Arabidopsis thaliana: one gene and its partner. The protein of the gene in region 1 interacts with the protein of each later gene in a pairwise test. Each region holds a gene or a part of one and is shown in the gene's direction. Other genes may lie near its edges. The genes, in order: ARAC9 and SPK1.

The links.
Region 2: the proteins of ARAC9 (region 1) and SPK1 interact in a two-hybrid assay, tested with the Arabidopsis thaliana proteins (one study listed by BioGRID).

The regions. Positions count from the first base shown.
Region 1 is NC_003071.7:18,427,137-18,431,650, forward strand, and holds ARAC9 (RAC-like 9), read left to right. Parts: upstream 1-1,984; 5' UTR 1,985-2,139; coding exon 2,140-2,274; intron 2,275-2,359; coding exon 2,360-2,447; intron 2,448-2,692; coding exon 2,693-2,802; intron 2,803-2,902; coding exon 2,903-2,966; intron 2,967-3,071; coding exon 3,072-3,136; intron 3,137-3,231; coding exon 3,232-3,297; intron 3,298-3,398; coding exon 3,399-3,500; 3' UTR 3,501-3,746; downstream 3,747-4,514. Other genes in the region: CKB4 (casein kinase II beta subunit 4), read right to left, coding at 64-229, 300-409, 495-713, 808-1,030; AT2G44700 (Galactose oxidase/kelch repeat superfamily protein), read left to right, coding at 3,879-4,514. UniProt on the Arabidopsis thaliana protein: Inactive GDP-bound Rho GTPases reside in the cytosol, are found in a complex with Rho GDP-dissociation inhibitors (Rho GDIs), and are released from the GDI protein in order to translocate to membranes upon activation.
Region 2 is NC_003075.7:9,238,375-9,243,535, reverse strand, and holds the start of SPK1 (guanyl-nucleotide exchange factors;GTPase binding;GTP binding protein), read left to right. Parts: upstream 1-1,906; 5' UTR 1,907-1,939; intron 1,940-2,136; 5' UTR 2,137-2,475; coding exon 2,476-2,553; intron 2,554-2,629; coding exon 2,630-2,792; intron 2,793-2,872; coding exon 2,873-2,964; intron 2,965-3,056; coding exon 3,057-3,169; intron 3,170-3,259; coding exon 3,260-3,315; intron 3,316-3,408; coding exon 3,409-3,506; intron 3,507-3,635; coding exon 3,636-3,773; intron 3,774-4,015; coding exon 4,016-4,327; intron 4,328-4,965; coding exon 4,966-5,161. Other genes in the region: CBL6 (calcineurin B-like protein 6), read left to right, coding at 64-134, 219-278, 350-458, 540-673, 765-877, 956-1,031. UniProt on the Arabidopsis thaliana protein: Guanine nucleotide exchange factor (GEF) for Rho and Rac. GEF proteins activate small GTPases by exchanging bound GDP for free GTP. Controls actin polymerization via the two heteromeric complexes WAVE and actin-related protein (ARP) 2/3.

The DNA.
Region 1 (4,514 bases):
CAATAGCAGATGCATCATATTATGACAAGATAAAGCTTTTTTGAACAGAGGAGCAAAGGATACTGCCTTGGTATTTAGATCGCGGGTAGTAAATATCCTCGCATTTTGGGCAGTATATCTTCACAGTGCTCGACCTCGGGATATCAGATTGGCCAACCGGAAGACAAGACTGTCCGCAACAGAAAACTCTGGGGCATCTCCCGAAATCATAATTCTTATACTTCTCCATCTACAAAAGAGAAAGATATCATTCAAAAGATCAATCAGAAACAAAGATGTAGAAGAAGTATCTTGCTTACCATAGCAGCCATTCCTTTAGTAGTGAGAATATAACGAACATGAATAAGACCATATAACATCTCAGCAGCTGATTCCACCATCTCATGCTGTTCTTCAGTAAACATATCACCTAATCCAATAAACATTCCTCCAAATTATACAACAATTCTCAGACAAAGTAAAGCCTAAATTCATCAAATGGACCCTTCACTTACCATTTGATGATTCAACATCTAAAATGAGATCAAGTGCATAATCATAGTAAGGAACTTGACCACTCAAACCACAGAGATTGAAATCATCTTGTATATAATCTTCATCTACTTCACAGAAAAACTCATTCCCTCTCAAATTACAAAACCATGAGATCCAAGAGGTATCATCACCTTCTGAACCACTCACATCTGATCCTTCACTATCCGTGTCAGATTCAACTGCATCCACAAAGAATCAAAATTTATTAATACCCAAATCAGAAAGTACTAAAACCACATGAAATTGAAATTGAGTGAGATATAAGCAATTAACCATCGGGGGAACGAGAATGAAGCTGAGATTTAGCAGTTGAAGTAGAAGGGACAGAATCTTTGTCCTTAGAAGTGAAAACCCTAGATGTAGAAGGTGAAGATTTCTTAAGATGTTTGTCTAAAGCATCATTGATTCGTTTCCGATCAATAGCTCCACCAAGGATCTCCGATCTCGATGATCCACCACCACCCATTATTCCTCCTCCACTCCGATCCTTGTACATAACTCGATTCGATTCCCTCAATGAAAAAAAACAAAATTTTTCAGCTTTAGATTCTCAAAGTCTTCGACTTTCTTATCATCAGAGGAAGAAGAGGGGCGGATAAATCTAGGGTTTGTTTTTTCTTCGATAGTTTGATCACAGAGTAGAAGAAAGAGAGAAGAAGAGATAAAGAGTGCTCTGCTTTTCCCTGTGGTTTTTTCTCATTCTCTACTGTTTTGTTTTCTTCTCTTTGTTTTTTTTTTTTTTTTTAATCATTGTTTAATTTTTTAAAATTCTAGTATTTAGAAATGGGCTTTTCGGATGGGCCTTATGACACTGACAGTTGTAATACAAAGATTCACGTAGAAGGAAACATTTTTTTGTACTTAAACTATGATTCCAAATTATATCTTAGGAAGAAAGAAATCATAAAATTCATTTTTTTTTGTATCAACACGGTAGTAATAATGGACTTGCCTTTCCATCTTTGTTAATGATGATGTGTTTGGTGGTCGATCCATTGTCCAAACTTAAATCGAAAAAAAAAACAAATGATCTAGAGATAATTAAAATTACACATCTTGTAAAATTAGTCATGTAAATGTAACTGAATTTACAAAATTTGATTTGATATAACCACCACTTATTTTCATTTTGCTGAAACATTTGGACCTTTGCATTTGCATTGATTGGTGAAAAAAACAAAGCACTATAATTTGTACAACTTTCATTTCTACCAATTATAATTTTTTTTATCAAAAGCGTTACTAAAAGATTTTTCTCTCAGCTTTTTTATACATTTTTTTTAATATAACTGTTTTTTAGTAATTTTATACTATTTCAAAAAAAGTTAACAGATAAAAGTTATGTACAGCTATGTGTTACCAATTAGAGTTTTTTTGGAAAGAAGTAAAATATGGCAAAATCTATCTAAATTCAAAAAATAGGAAAGAAATCAAACCCACCGAATAAAAAATTATTTTTAAGGCGTTTTGGCTCTCTGACAGCTCAAATTAAAGTTGACTCCTTTTTTACCACTCAAGTCTCATTCTCATTCTTCACTTGAACCAGAATAAAACCACAGAAAGAGAGAGAACAGGGTAAGTAAAATCAGAGAATTTTCTCAATCAATGTCAGCTTCAATGGCTGCAACATCAACATCATCAGCAACAGCTACAACGTTTATAAAGTGTGTCACTGTTGGCGATGGAGCTGTGGGCAAAACTTGTCTTCTTATTTCCTACACCAGCAACACGTTCCCCACTGTATATAAATCCATCTCTCCCTCTCTCTCTTTTGGATTGCTTTTCTTGATAGCTTTTGGTGACTGTTGAGATCTTGTTATTACAGGATTATGTTCCAACAGTGTTCGACAATTTCAATGCTAATGTTTTAGTCGATGGTAAAACTGTCAATCTGGGTCTCTGGGATACTGCTGGTAAATGCTTTTACCTAATGTCAAAGTTGTTCTTGTCTTTAGCTTTATATCTACAACAATATGTCAAGGTCTAATCTTTTGGTCCTTTTAAAAGAAGTCAGTTGAAAAATTTGAATCTTTGATGCAACATTGTTTTGGTTCTTGAATTCACTATCAGATTTTGCTCATGTTTCTTCAAAACTTAAATGAGACCAATTATGATTCTTGTGTTATATATCTTTTGGGTGATTCACATTATATTACAGGTCAAGAAGACTACAATAGGGTTAGACCATTGAGTTACAGAGGAGCAGATGTTTTCATTCTTGCCTTCTCACTTATTAGCAGGCCTAGCTTTGAGAACATTGCTAAAAAGGTTGAGACTTGAGATTATCTTTCCTTTTACTTTTAATTTCACTGTAATTTAACTTTACAACACTGATCTCATGTGCATATGGATCGGTTTTCTTTCGCAGTGGGTACCCGAGCTGAGACATTATGCCCCGACTGTGCCTATTGTTCTTGTGGGAACCAAATCAGGTTGAAGATAATGAACCACTCTGTTATGTCTTGAATGTTAGGAATCTAACATCAATGTGTAAGTGATGTTATGTAGTATATAAGATGAATTTCTTGATATTGCAGATCTAAGAGACAACATGCAGTTCCCAAAGAATTATCCAGGTGCTTGCACAATCTTCCCAGAACAGGTATGTTTTTTTAAAGATTCTTCTTCAATGTATATGATCAAGAACCATGTTAAGAATCAAACTCTTTTATAACTCAAAGATTGCTTCTTTTATAGGGTCAAGAACTAAGAAAGGAAATAGGAGCATTAGCATACATAGAGTGCAGCTCAAAAGCACAAATGGTAAAGTAACCATTAATGCTTGAGTTACATTTTACAATTAGACCAAATATTTTGGACCTCAATCTGATAAAGAAAGACTTATGATGATGCTAAATTTGCAGAACGTAAAAGCCGTGTTTGATGAAGCGATCAAAGTAGTTTTACATCCTCCTTCAAAGACTAAGAAGCGAAAGAGAAAGATCGGTTTATGCCATGTTCTTTGACTAGTGTACTCAAGTCTCTGGCTTTGGTTTGTTTTACATCTTTTTTAGTGTGTTTCTTCTATGAAGGACTCTTGCAGATTTTAGTATGATTAGCTATCTTCGTTATAAAAGTTTGATCTTGTAGTAGAGATTCTTGTAACAGAATTATAAGCGAATTCTCGTCTATCAGTCTATGTAAAAGAACAATGTTTGTCTTCTTTGAGTTCAAGAGACAACAACAAAGAACCGTTTTAGCGCAAAAAGAAACAAAATAAACCGATTGAAACAGAATCGAAGAATAAATAAACCGGGTTTTGTTTTTTGGCTAATAACCGAAACCGAAATAGAATAAATCAATAAAATCTCAATTCTCTAGTCTTCTCCTTTAAACTAGAGTCGATGTCTAGCTCCAACGAACCACCGCGAAAAACCGACCAACCATCGTCGTCATCGGCATCGGCATCGGCATCGCCGTCATTGTTTTTGTCACTGCCACTGGAAATCATTTCGATGATCTTAGCCCGCGTCCCAAAACGATATTACCCAATCCTCTGCTCCGTCTCCAAGAACATGCGGAGTCTTGTTCGCTCGCCTGAAATTCACAAGGCTCGATCTTTACTCGGAAAAGATTATCTCTATATCGGCTTCATCGACGAAAATTATCGCCCCGTATACGACTACTGGTACACTCTCCGGAGAATCGAGAACAGTACGACCGAGAATCTCTTCGAATCCATTGAGTTCCCTTATCCTTCCGAGCCTAATCGATTTTCCATGAACGCCGTTGGTCCAAAGATCTTCTTCATTTCAGAATCTTGTACTCCTTCATCAAGACTTTCGATCTTTGACACCCGATTTGGGGAGTTGCGTCAAGGACCTTGTTTGCTAGTGAAGCGAGGGTACAATTGCGTAGGACTAGTCGGCGGTAAGGTCTATGTGATCGGAGGCTATCAGGACGACGAGATTGCAGCGGAAAGCTTTGATCTAAATACGCAAACTTGGGAAGCAGCGCCGATTCCCGATGAAAAAGAAAGT
Region 2 (5,161 bases), on another chromosome or scaffold:
ACATTTACTTTTACTATTTTTATTTGTCACAACCCCAACAATGGCTTTATGTACCAAATGCAGTTACAGTGAATGAGATTGAAGCTCTTTACGAACTGTTCAAGAGCATTAGCAAAAACGGGCTTATCGACAAGGTATGCAAGAATCCATAGTCGGACACGAGTACTATATCTCTCTGTTCCTCTACATTCACTAGGATCCTTTCAAATATATTGCAGGAACAATTTCAATTGGTACTATTCAAAATGAACACAACGAGAAGCCTTTTTGCTGATAGGGTAAATTAGATAGACTTGTAACTCACTTATATGAGTTTCCTTGCTGTACACTCATACTTCAAGCTTTGCAGGTGTTTGACTTGTTTGATACCAAGAATACTGGGATTCTAGATTTTGAAGCCTTTGCTCGTTCACTTTCGGTCTTTCACCCTAATGCTAAATTTGAGGATAAGATTGAGTGTAAGTGGTCGAGAGAGACTTGACCTTCTTTTTTTTTGTCATATCCAAACCTTGGATCAAGCTCATCTTTTGTCTCTGCAGTCTCTTTCAAGCTGTATGATCTGAATCAGCAAGGTTATATAAAGAGACAGGAGGTGAAGCAAATGGTTGTGCGGACTCTAGCTGAATCTGGCATGAACCTTTCTGATCATGTGATTGAGAGCATCATAGACAAGGTGGGTTTGGTTGATCTCCTCCATTGACACTAACTAGGATTCTCATATTTAATCTTTGACAAGAGATGTAAAAACTGATTGGTGTGTGTAGACATTTGAAGAAGCTGATACTAAACTGGACGGGAAGATTGATAAGGAAGAGTGGAGGAGTCTTGTGTTGCGCCACCCCTCTCTGTTACAGAACATGAGCCTTCAACATCTCAAGTAAGCTAGCCATGTTATTTGCCTTATTATCTTCTTCGTGCGGGACTAACATGTTTTTGTATGTTGTGTTTTGTGTAGAGACGTAACAAAGACGTTTCCAAATTTTGTATTTCACACTATAGTGACAGACACTCCTAGTGAGCTGGATGGATGATCAGGGATGTGAAGAAAGACCAAAACCCTTTACAAGATCATTCATACTTGATTCTTATCTTCTTCTCCATTACTCTATTACAACCCTCCTCTTTATTTTTAATAAATACGTTCTGAAAGCAGCATTACCTCACATGTTTGTGTATCCGCAAACTTGTTCGGTTTATCTTATCTGTTGGAGTGTGCAAATTGATTCTTTTACTCGGCATTAGTTTTATTTTGTTGCTTCTTCTTTCTTTCTATCTAAATTTGTTAGTTGGAGTAAAATCCGGACAACCATATTTTACAGGGAACCCAAATGGCGAGATAGTTTTAACATGAGAAAGGAAAGATTCATGTGAATGAGAAACTGGTTAACTTGAATCTCATAGATCATTGTATACTTGGACATTTTCCCAAGATTAGAACAAACAATACTAGATCTCTCGAAAATATCTTCATCACAGTTGCAAAGAGCCGTGGAGAACCCAACTCTTGAGCTCAAAATTGTATCAGCTAGTGACGTCAACCATATCGAATATGTCACGGACAAAATGGACGTATACGCCGTCGTTTCAATCAAAGACAACACAACTCAACAGCAACAAGCGGCCAAAACTCCCATTGATATATAACGGAGGTTCTAATCCGACTTGGAATCACACACCGTTAAGTTCTCCGTCAACGAGAGAGAAGCCACGAAGCCCAATAATTATGTTAACCAGTGTAACGTTTTTTCACCCACTTAATTTTTTGGCTGGGTCTGCCTAACATTCTAGGCACAAGTTAAAGAGGTGATCAATTTTTAGAAATTATAACCCTAATGCTAACATGAATGATATATAAAAAGGCCGCAATGGTAGACTATAATGGCAACAACTCTGAAACAATGGCTAAAGATTGGGATTCACCGATTCATAGATACCAAAGGTAACTATGAACTCGTTTACGGTTTATCTCAACATGAATCCGTAGAAACAAATCAACAATCCTAATTTCAATAAAGTGTGACAACTAAATTCTTTAGCCGTATACTTTCTAATTCCATTTTGTTTGGTATAATGAGAATTGGAATGACTTTTGGTGAAAATGGTTACTACTTACTCCAATTCTTTAAGTTGGTTCAGGTGAGGTATCATCGTCTTTGGTCGTCCCAATGATTGACTCTTTTGTTATTTAAAAAGAAAAAAGGGACAGTAGAGTTGGACTCTTGTTGGACTTACAGCTCCAGCTCGACTTTTGCTTTCCTCTTGAGTAATCTTCACTTTTTCTCCCAACTGCTTCCTCTCACGGATCTCTTCCTCTCTGCGTAAAGACAAAGATTCATCCTCCTCTCCTCCTTTAGCTCCCCCACTCAGATCTACTTACTACTCCAACAATGTCCTTTTCCCATTTCTAGGTTTTCACAAATCCCCAATTCTCTCTAATGGCGTAGTAGTACCTCACATTGTATTAGATCTATCTCAATGGAGAACAACAATCTTGGTCTTCGATTTCGTAAGCTACCTCGTCAGCCTCTTGCTCTCCCTAAGCTCGATCCTTTGGTAATTAAACTCTCCTCAACCTTTATTCGCGTTTTCTCTCTCTTTTCGTTAATGTGTTTCTTCTCTTTTGTTTCAGCTTGATGAGAATCTGGAACAATGGCCACATTTGAATCAATTGGTTCAATGTTATGGCACTGAATGGGTTAAAGATGTTAACAAATACGGTCACTATGAAAATATTCGACCTGATTCTTTCCAGACTCAGATTTTTGAAGGACCTGATACTGATACTGAGACTGGTAACTATGATGCATTGTTTATTTTTATTTTTTTTGCTTTTGTCAATTATTGTACATCAATTAACTCTCTGCTTCTTCAGAGATTCGTCTTGCTAGTGCCAGGAGTGCAACTATTGAGGAGGATGTTGCCAGTATTTCCGGGAGGCCGTTTTCTGATCCTGGATCCTCTAAGGTGTCTTCTTTTACTCACTTCATTGCTCTGTTATATATTTCTCATCCTTTGGTTCTTACTTTGAAGGTGTTGCTTTTTTTTTTTTTTTTCAGCATTTTGGGCAACCTCCTTTACCTGCTTATGAACCAGCTTTTGACTGGGAAAATGAAAGAGCTATGATTTTTGGTCAGAGAACTCCTGAATCTCCTGCAGCTAGCTATTCCAGGTTTTTTTTTTTTTGCATGTCACTATGCTTTACCTGATCTTATTATCTTTGTCTGATTTGTACTTCTGTTCCTCTTTATTATCTTCACAGTGGATTGAAGATCTCTGTCAGAGTTTTGTCTCTAGCTTTTCAGTCTGGCTTAGTTGGTGAGGATTCTGACTAACTGCTGTCTATTTTCTGTAATTTTAGTTATTTCAACTTCTTTAAGTTCCTTCTTTATTTCTCTTGCATCCCTGCAGAACCATTTTTTGGCTCGATTGCATTGTACAATCAAGAGAGGAAGGAGAAACTCTCTGAGGATTTTTATTTCCAGATTCAGCCGACGGAAATGCAGGATGTAAGTAACTGATTAGAGCCAACTGTCCTCTTTTTGCCTCTTCCCTTCTCATGATTATATAAAAGGTGATTTCAGTTTTTTCTCACGTCATTTTTGCGAAATTGCCGCCCCTTGTACATTTTCTTGCAGGCTAAACTTTCATCTGAAAATCGTGGAGTATTTTATCTAGATGCCCCATCAGCATCAGTTTGCCTGCTTATTCAATTAGAAAAAACAGCAACTGAGGAAGGAGGCGTTACATCATCTGTCTATTCCCGTAAAGAGCCTGTAATTTCCAAAATCCTGAATTTTCCCTTACTGTCTCTAGAGTCTCTTGCTCATGTGAATGCCTTGGTCTTAGAGATTGTGTCTTTCAACATTTATTTGGAGTAACTTGGAGATAGCCTGTGACTTATAATGGCATATATCATCTGTCTTTACTCTTTGTTTTGATATATATTTTAGAGTAGTCATGGTGATAGCTGGATCTTGATATAACAATTAGTAATTACCCTATTTATGTGAATCAGGTGCACTTAACTGAGAGGGAAAAGCAAAAGTTGCAGGTCTGGTCTCGCATTATGCCTTACCGAGAGTCTTTTGCTTGGGCAGTTGTTCCGCTTTTTGATAATAATCTCACCACAAACACTGGTGAATCTGCTTCCCCTAGCAGTCCTCTTGCTCCTAGTATGACTGCGTCAAGTTCCCATGATGGTGTTTATGAACCAATTGCAAAGATCACATCAGATGGAAAGCAAGGTTATTCAGGTGGAAGTTCTGTCGTAGTTGAAATATCTAATTTAAATAAAGTTAAAGAGAGCTACTCTGAAGAGTCCATTCAGGTAGGATGTTTCTTATCAAATCCCACAGTTTTTACCATGTTCTTTATGATTGTATTTACAGTGCTTTGAACTTCACATGGTGTGGAACATTTTTCATAGATTTTGTTCAATTTGAAAATCCTACTTGCTAGGTACACTTTGGTTGGGTTTTCCTGAACTGGATATGTATCTAAGCAAGTAGAGTTGCATGCACAGTCGATTGACAAAATACTTCTGTATTTAATTGATAACAGTTTTTTTTTGTTTTCTATTTGAATGAATCAATTTTGGTAGCATTTGACAATTAGGTCATGGTGTTTAATTCATAAGTTTTGAGGAATAGAAGTTCTTCATTTCTGTTTTCCCTTCTGAAGTGTAGTTAGTTATAAGTATATTACTAAATACATCACAAGAAAACAAGATTTCCGAGCTCTCTCTTCTTTTACTCACACAAAAAAATTCAGATCTGAATCGTGTTTGGTAACGTCATCAGACAAATAACTGGAATGCTTTTTATTGATATAACATCTTACTGTATATTGCTGCTTTTATCTGGAGGAAATACATATCTAAAATCTCTTTAAACTGTCTTGATCAGTTGGACATACGGAATCTCCTAATGTGCTAATGTCTAATAATTTATTCTTTGGTTTTTACAGGACCCCAAACGGAAGGTTCACAAACCTGTTAAAGGGGTTCTAAGACTGGAAATTGAGAAACATCGGAATGGACATGGAGACTTTGAAGATCTATCTGAGAATGGAAGTATCATAAATGACTCCCTTGATCCAACTGACCGCCTCAGTGACCTGACTCTTATGAAGTGTCCCAGTTCTAGTTCTGGTGGACCCCGTA